3 linked regions of the Saccharomyces cerevisiae S288C genome follow. The gene in region 2 interacts genetically with the main gene of each other region. Each region holds a gene or a part of one and is shown on either strand. Other genes may lie near its edges.

Region 1 (2,948 bases), on a different chromosome or scaffold from region 2:
CGGTGACTGGTGGAATTGTGTTAGTTGGGCAGACTTCAGTAGAATTTGGAACATCCCAGTGCATAAGTTTTTGTTAAGACATGTTTACCATAGTTCAATGAGTTCATTCAAATTGAACAAGAGTCAAGCAACTTTGATGACCTTTTTCTTAAGTTCCGTCGTTCATGAATTAGCAATGTACGTTATCTTCAAGAAATTGAGGTTTTACTTGTTCTTCTTCCAAATGCTGCAAATGCCATTAGTAGCTTTAACAAATACTAAATTCATGAGGAACAGAACCATAATCGGAAATGTTATTTTCTGGCTCGGTATCTGCATGGGACCAAGTGTCATGTGTACGTTGTACTTGACATTCTAAGGCATCCTGCAACTGTTCTGTGGAGCTATTAAATCTTTATAGTAAATTTTTTTTTACTTTTTTTTTTTTTTTTTTTTTTTTTTATTATTTACAAGCGTCTATATATTTTCTATTATAGAATATTGTCATTTATTACATTGGTTCATCTGTAAATCTCATCAAACGGTCTCGTATCGGCGAAGCAACTGTCCCAAACTTCATCTACAATTTTTGCTGCATGTTCTTTGCTTTGGCAGTTGGGGTTCCCCGAAACACTAATTATTGCCCTCCTTCTAACACAATCTTGGTGTCCCCTTGCCACATGGAATCCTGTCCTAAACCCTCTTCTCTTGAACTCTTCCCAAAACCTGCATTCCCCACTTAACGAAGAGGCTCTGATTTCAGAACATGCATGATGCTTCAGATTTAACCAATCTATTTGCCATTTTAGATCATCGAAATAATGAATTAATTCATGCGAAAGCGTATCCTCTAAATGCCACTTATCACGTAACCTGTTCTGGCACAATAGGATTCCCAATTCAGGATGAAAGCCACCGCCCTTCCAGTCGGGACAGTAATCGCAGATGATCTTCGAATCGTCGAATTTACTGTCGCTACCCTTATTAAGTTTCGTAATAGCTTGTACCATAAAGCGAACTGTGGGAGAGTATTTAAGCATCCAATCTCGATACTCATAACATTTCAGACATTCCTTTTTTAGTTCTCGAGCTTTAGAGTCGTCTTCGTATCGAGTTTTCTCCTCCGGTGTCAAGCCTATACCAGTCTTGTACTGCATGGTCCGTCTCCACCACTCAAACCCAGCATTATCCCCACTGCTATTCATATCGTGCCAAAAAAAAAAAAAATTCGGTACTATCAGCTTTCCTTGGTTTTGGTTGTACAAATTATGCCTTACTCTTCTGATCATTTTGATATTAGAACTCTTATTTTTCTTATTTGTTCGCATCGTCATAAATGATAATTGGCGAAAACGCGCCAAAAAGTGAAAAAGTGAGAACTACTTGAAAAAAAAAAGTTTGATATTATAGGTATTATTGCTCAAATAGGTACGATATTGTTGTAGGCATAAAAATTAGATTAGCAGAACCCTTTTCCATTTCATTAACATGTCTAGTTCAATATTTGGCCCACTTACGGGTTTTTTGGAGCGTGTCAATTCACTCAATGCGCCCTACCAAGCATTATCATATGACGAACAAAAGGCCATGACTATTTGGCAAAGAGTCAAATTCTACAACTGGACTTTTGAATTGTGTGCTCTAGGTGTGTTGTTCTTGGTTTATGCTTTCTACAAATTTGGTAACTCCGTTAATTTGAAGCGCGGAAATCAGATTTTCCAATCTTTGCATTCATTTTTGGCCAACGACTTAAAGTTCTCCCGTGTAGGGTTCAATATCAATGATTCCAAAATCTTTACAGTGGAACACCAAAATACATGGTTCTCTTCTTTTGCTACCGGTAGATCCGCCATCAAGAGCATCAACCTAAACCTTCATCTGGTAGCCCGTAGCAACCCTTTCTCTATGTGTCTAGAGTACCTGCTTGGATTTTTTTTTGCAAGTTTGAAAAGTAAGCAATTGGAAGAATTTATGGAGATCGTGATCAGGCCAAATGGTATTTTAGTTACTAGTGAATCTGCTCATCCTAACAAGAATGCGCATGAAATTTTGACCAAATTTAGATTTGTCACTTCTATTGTTAACAAAGAATTCATGAATCAAGCTAGAACTGAAAACTATTTCCTGTCTATTGCACACACTAGTGAAAACGATAAACTACCAAATAACTTCGTCTACATGTCCGATGTTAATCAATTATCAGGGTTCATGTTTCATTACTCCAAGCCCTATGAGGTTTTGTCCCAAGCTGGTAATCTTTTGAAATATATAAGTTTCACCGATTTGCCTGTCAACCCGCCACGCGATGATAAAGAATGGGAATCTTCAATTGAACCAAAGGCTATCATTCGTTGCGCTGTTCCCCAAAATGAGAATGAATTGAAGTTGTTAAACCAAATTATTTCCTTAGTCGTAGAAATCTACGATGGGTTCACTCAAGATTTAGTCCAACAGTCTCCAAACTTATTCATTACCAACGACATCTTGAAAAGAACTACCAACTTGCGTCAGCAAGAACTGAACAAGATCAAAAAGTTTATGAAAGAAACTGAATTGGAATTGGCAAAGGAGAAGAAATTAGAATTGGAAAAAGCCAAAAGACGTCAATTGAAGGCCTCTGGTCAACAAGAAAAGGTAGATCAAAAAATGAAAGAGAAAAGAGAAAGACGTCTCAAAAACAAGCAAAGAACAAGATTTCAGTAAGAACCACTTTGTTCTTCTTTCCTCCTTATAATTTTCTGAACCTCTTCAGTTTTTGTATACGAACGTTTTCCATGTATCCATACATTTAAATAGTAAGTATGTAAATTGGTATGTGGTGTTTTGAATTGCGATGTTGCCTATATACAAGATTGTACGCTATCTGAATACATACTCTTTACCAATCAAATGTCAAGACCGGGGATCTTAACCTCTTCGATAGTAATCCCAGAATCCAATAATCCCTTCTTTTCCTCTTTTGGCTTCTC
Region 2 (3,148 bases):
GTCTTGCACATTTTTCTCTCAACTTTAAACAATGATTTTGATAGTATTGACACTGTTTCGAAAGCCCATTCAGTTGGAATTGGGAAACATTATATAACGACTCCAAAAGTGGGGGCAGTGGCTCAAAAAAAATCCTAATGTCGGTAGGCAGCTGTTTAGATTCCACAAGGTTAATGATGGAGATATCGCTCGAACGGCATATAGGACACACCTTTGATGTTAATGGAGAATGCTGCGAACAGAGGATATGAGCACATGAGGTCAGCCTCAATGGATCTCCATGCGATGTTCTTCTGTGGCAAACACCACAGTAAACAAAGGGCTGTTCAAAAATAGAATCCGGCATTATATATTTCTTTGGTGATATCAATGATAAACGTCTTACCTGTTTCAAGCACTTTTGTTTTTTCTCTCTCATGCTCTTCGTGTTAGTTTGGGGAATGAACACGATCGCCAAATAGCCGCCCATCCCTTGTTGGCCGCCGCACAAAGCGTCAACTTCACAGACGTTTGGCAAACTTCCACAATGCTTCCTTTTCAGATGGAGTAGCCTCCCCGCAAGCTGCCCACCTAATTTTTAACTGCTGGTCCACAAGAAAGACGTATCCAGAAAAGACATTATTGCAAAAGAGCTCTTCCCTGACGGAAAATGGCCATTGGCCTCTAGAACATTCGAAATAAAATGGCTGGCGCCAGGATGGAACGCGATTGGCCCAACGAGCAAGCGTTTTCACTAGAGCACTTTTCACAGCGTTTTCTACAAGATTGACCTCGATGATTTGGACGTTACTGTCATTTAAACTTAAACGCGCATCAGCTTCAGTCAAGTAGTCAGTTTTTTTGTTATCGTCTACGATTCCTTGGAAGTATGAACTACTCAACTTATCGCCAGATGCTGTACTAAATAACCTCACTATACTGGTTTTACCCCTTAACATATCCTCGATATTCTGTTGTTTCGTACCATCCATTGCCGTTCCTATCAAATGAGGAAAAAACAAAGCTTTATCTTCTTTCCAATATGAAACTGGAGCTATAAACAATTTCCCCTTTGTCTTTTGGAAGACTTGCACGTCATAAAGTCCAGATTTGCTGAATTCAACGGCCAACTCTTTAACTCTGTGGTTTGTCTTTTCCGAATCAAACATATCCCTCAAAGAGTTCCCCTGGGAGTATTTGGTGCTTTTCCTTGGTGCTTGTGTTAAGCCTATTGGCTTGACCAGTTGTTTGATCTGGTATTCCTTTGGGGAAGCCGTTGCCATCATAGGCTTGAGGAATTTATCCAAGAAGGACATCCGCGTAAGCGTGGGATGGTAAAACCTTTTAAAAGTGCCCTGCATAGTTAGTTTAAGTTACTCTGATATCGCAAATAAACAAATAACCTGACTTTTACTATATGCTGAAATAGTCCTTTTTAAATATGCACTCTTCCATATTTTTCTGAAGGCGAATCAAATAAATGGTAATAAAAATTTAAATTTCAAAAACGATTTCTAGGCAAGGATATTGTGCGTAAGGAACAAAACAAACGTTTATAGTAGTTTTTATATAGCTGCATAGTGATGTGGCGAGAACTATTAAATATTTCTTACTTCGAAGTTTTATGTACATCGCCTCTGCCTTGCCTTTACACTTTTTAAATTCTTGATTCTGCTCTAGTACAATCTTCACCACTGTTACAAGATCAGGCGTCTCTTTACTAATACCAAGAAGAGGGTGAGATACATGATATTTTATTAAACTGATATTGCCTTGGGTCGGCTGTAATGCAATTAGTCAGGTGGAATCTAATATCACCTAGGGCCTTGGTGAAAATTCTCAGCAAAATGCGGGTTGAGGGTGAGAGAGGGTCCTGGGGAAGGTGCACGCCCTTTTCACAAGAGGTGCGTAAGAGAGAAACAAGCCTTCGACTCTACAGCCCTTCTAACACCGCCACTCAATCAATTAAAAGCAGTCGCACCCATCCAAAAGTAGAATTACATAAACTAGAGGAGAAAAAGCAGCCAGTACAAAGGAGAATTACTTCATTGACCAACGGATATTCTGTGAGTGTTTATATTTAAGATTCTGCTTTTGATTAGAGAAGGTTGAGAACCATACAGTTTGTCAAACCATGGCTCCAAAAATTTCAATATCCTTAAACCCACCGTACAACGGGGAGTTTTATAGCTCTAATGATCAAATGTCAGGGATAGTTAGTCTTCAGTTAACAAAAGCGCTATCTATAAGGAAAATTTCCGTCATTCTAAAAGGATTCTCAGAGACCTTAACAAAAATTGATCAAGAGTACATGTTTCAACAGAATGGCATGATGATGCCGGGCCAAGACAACAAATCCTTTCATACATTAATGAAATTCGAACAGAGAGTTTTCCCTCCAGATAATGTATGGAATGCTCTTGATGGCTCCTCCAAGCCGTTCAAAGTTAAACCAGGTTCATATAATTATAGCTTTCAATTTGACAAGTTTCCCAGAAAGCCTGAATGTCTGAAAAATCATACGGCAAAGACAGTAGCGTTTGTGACAAGAAGTAATGCCCGACTCCCACCTACGTTCAATAGTCATTGGCAAGAATTTAATAAAATCGATAATCTGGATTTGTATTTTTACTCTTTTGGAAAAGTTATATATATGGTGCAAGTTCAATTAGAGCTAGGGAAATCTTCATCTTGGTTTAAGCCATTCCATAAACTGATAAGGGAAATCGAGACGTTCGAATTTATACCTGAGCCAAAAGATCTTATTATAGAACCTGATGAAGATGACAATGAAGAACTTAATGCCTTCAGTAACAATAGTAGAGGAAATAGTATGGTCACCAACAATGAATTTTTCAATAGTTCAAATTTAAAGGTGCCATCAAAGGACGTCAAAGTCGTTAATGGAGTCGGATATATAAAAAGTGACAGGAACTTTTCTCAAGCTAATTCTATATTGATAGAAAACGGCGACATTAGATCGAGACCGGTATCATCAGTCACATCAACAAGACAATCTACTCGCCTAGTAAATGGTATGAAAGTTTTCCCATCTACTTATAAAATGGGGTTGCCTGATGGGGAAAGCAATATGAGAATAGAGGTTAGAAGTCGAGATTTGAAGCAAATATACAGGAAAGACTACTTGTTTAGGTCTGGCAGCCAAAAT
Region 3 (2,512 bases), on a different chromosome or scaffold from region 2:
CACAAGAATCAACAGCAACAAGTGTTGATGGATTTTCTGAACGATGAAGGGAGCTCCAACTGGGTTGACGATGATGAAGAGGAGCTTATCCTTCAACGTTTGAAGACCTCTTTGAAAATATGATCCCTCCCATCACATGGACACTTTTAAGCACGTTTTGCTTGAAGAGACATTAGTTTACACCATTATAATTGTTTAATAAATACTAGACATACTTCAAGTGAGAAAATCAATCACACCTTTTTCAATGATTAGCAAATCTTTATTGCCAGGCCTAACTGAAACGATTTATTACTGCGCAAGAAAACAAAGATGGAAAAGGCTATGCTAGTTCGATTAGTTGTTTCCTTATTCTTTAGAATATTATATATGTATATATAAATAAATGGCTTTCATCTTATTTCGAATAAAAATGTTTTGGGTGATGTGTATTGAGCATACACACTTAATATCAAAGAACAATTATAAAGATGCTATGAACGGATGTTATTTTTACCTAACTATGCCTTCTTGGCTTTGATACCTCTAATAGCATTTGGAATGTATAGAAGTGGTGTAACGACGGCTACCGCAAAAATAGCATAAAATGGATACAGGTATAAAGCTGACCTTGGATGTCTCCACCATAGAGGTTTAGTGGAAGATTGGAAGATTTTCTGTAGTTGAATAACTTTATTAGCCATTATTTATTATTGTTTTGCTTTCTGTACTTGTTGGTTTAGAATCTTATATCGAGTTCTACTATTCATGGGATGAATAAATAATATCATCTTTTATTTCTATCCGCCTTTTCAAACCTGCCCCTACCAGGCCGGATTTCTCGGACGATGCGCGGCGTAGCCAATCAAGTACTGCCTTTTTTTTTTTTTGCTGACACTATATGTATACGTGCATATAATCAAACAATAAAGCAATTGTAAGCGTCAGCAATTCTAGCTGTACTAAGATCGTAGTGATTATATGCGCTTATATTTACATGGTATGAAGAATAAAATTTGAATAAATAAATAAACGTACTCTTTACGAGTACAAATCTCAAAACTAAAAGAAAAAAAGGGTTACATCTTGTTTCCAAATAGCGTCTATAGAAATGTAGGGTATAAGTTGATGCAAAGGTTTTTAGCGGTGTGTATGACACACAAATATTTACACGTGAGAGAAAGGAAGGTAAATAACTGAAAAGATTACTCCTCCTCCTTTTTATTCTCTTCAAAAAGCTTCATTTTCCTTTCATTTTGCTCCAACTTTAATAGTGAAATCTCTTCATCAAACCATTCTTTTAAGAAAAGTGTTAACTTTCTCATATTCTCAAGCCCCTGGTATTTATAGTCCACATATCTAAGTACTAACTCGTCAATGCGATCCTTTATCTCCTTGTTATCAATGGAAGCAGCAGTTGAAATGTAAGCAGGCCTTTTCTCAAAATATTTCATAAAGCCTTTGATTTGTCTAATGCAACCTGGAGTAATCAGGCTTGCCCTATGATTACAATTCCAGTCTTTTAAAATCCTACTAAACCGTTCGCTTTCATGCATTCTTGACGCCAACTTTAAAGATGTCATGTAATACATCATCCACTGTTTGTTATTTGAAGTATCCAAATTTTTTCTAGCTTGTGAAATTAGGTAACATGCATATTTGAAATCACGGGTGTGGAAACATATTTGAGTAAGTTGTAAATAGTTTTGAACTGAAAGCTCCTTTTGATGTACTCGTTCAAATTCCTTCAGTTTGAATTCCAGTTCTTTTAAATGTTCAGCAGACAACTTTTCAAAAGATCTATAATTAGAAATGATCTCCCATTTCAACCATAATATATCGACTTTTAGTGGGATATAGCGGAATCTGGTCCTTAATATCACATCAACTACACGTGCCAAACCAGTTAAAGAGTTTCTCAAGCATAATGCCAAAACGGAATACAAAAATGAAAATTGAGGCGCAATGCCCTCCTTCAAACTATTCGAAATCACCAATTCTGCTCCATATACATCATTGTGAGAAACTTTTTTCTTGAACTCTTCAAACCTTTCAAAATCAACCGCGTTGAAACCAGATAACGAAGAGTCTTCTCCTCCATTGATCTTTCTCGTATGGATATGGGCATTTTCTTGTAAAAATGTGTACACCCAAGTGAGACATTTGCTGTATTGGCTCCTTTTTAGAGTCACAAGTAGGTCATTTGTAATTTCTTTTGCCAGCATTGGATAAACATTTACGGCACATGACCATAATTGTTGAATAAATGCGGGCCGTAATCGCGTTTTACCATCAGTGGTTTTAACTACACTGCGATAATATTTGAAAAGTCCTTCGAATTGATTGGTGTTGACAAAATACCTAGAAATGCACAAATGAAACGAACCGTCTATGCTAATATCATTATCTCTCTGGATTTTTTCCAAGATTACTTTTAAATTCTCGAAATTGTTAGTAGAGACGTACGCTTGAACCACTGACATATATAGCTCTTTTCGTGTTGAAATATTATTATTAAGTCTGGTAATAAATT

The links.
Region 1: mutations in ATP10 (region 2) and ATP23 together harm fitness less than expected from each alone (positive genetic interaction), as found in Saccharomyces cerevisiae (3 studies listed by BioGRID, with this or other methods).
Region 3: mutations in ATP10 (region 2) and COX7 together harm fitness more than expected from each alone (negative genetic interaction), as found in Saccharomyces cerevisiae (2 studies listed by BioGRID).

Annotation. Positions count from the first base shown.
Region 1 is NC_001146.8:666,910-669,857, forward strand, and holds ATP23 (putative metalloprotease), read right to left. Parts: upstream 1,314-2,948; coding exon 501-1,313; downstream 1-500. Other genes in the region: ARE2 (sterol acyltransferase), read left to right, coding at 1-358; YNR021W (uncharacterized protein), read left to right, coding at 1,468-2,682; mitochondrial 54S ribosomal protein bL9m MRPL50, read right to left, coding at 2,865-2,948. UniProt on the Saccharomyces cerevisiae protein: Has a dual role in the assembly of mitochondrial ATPase. Acts as a protease that removes the N-terminal 10 residues of mitochondrial ATPase CF(0) subunit 6 (ATP6) at the intermembrane space side.
Region 2 is NC_001144.5:905,271-908,418, reverse strand, and holds ATP10 (Atp10p), read right to left. Parts: upstream 1,341-3,148; coding exon 501-1,340; downstream 1-500. Other genes in the region: SUMO ligase CST9, read right to left, coding at 1-469; ART10 (Art10p), read left to right, coding at 2,114-3,148. UniProt on the Saccharomyces cerevisiae protein: Essential for the assembly of the mitochondrial F1-F0 complex.
Region 3 is NC_001145.3:778,445-780,956, forward strand, and holds COX7 (cytochrome c oxidase subunit VII), read right to left. Parts: upstream 684-2,512; coding exon 501-683; downstream 1-500. Other genes in the region: GFD1 (Gfd1p), read left to right, coding at 1-123; PET111 (Pet111p), read right to left, coding at 1,185-2,512. UniProt on the Saccharomyces cerevisiae protein: Component of the cytochrome c oxidase, the last enzyme in the mitochondrial electron transport chain which drives oxidative phosphorylation.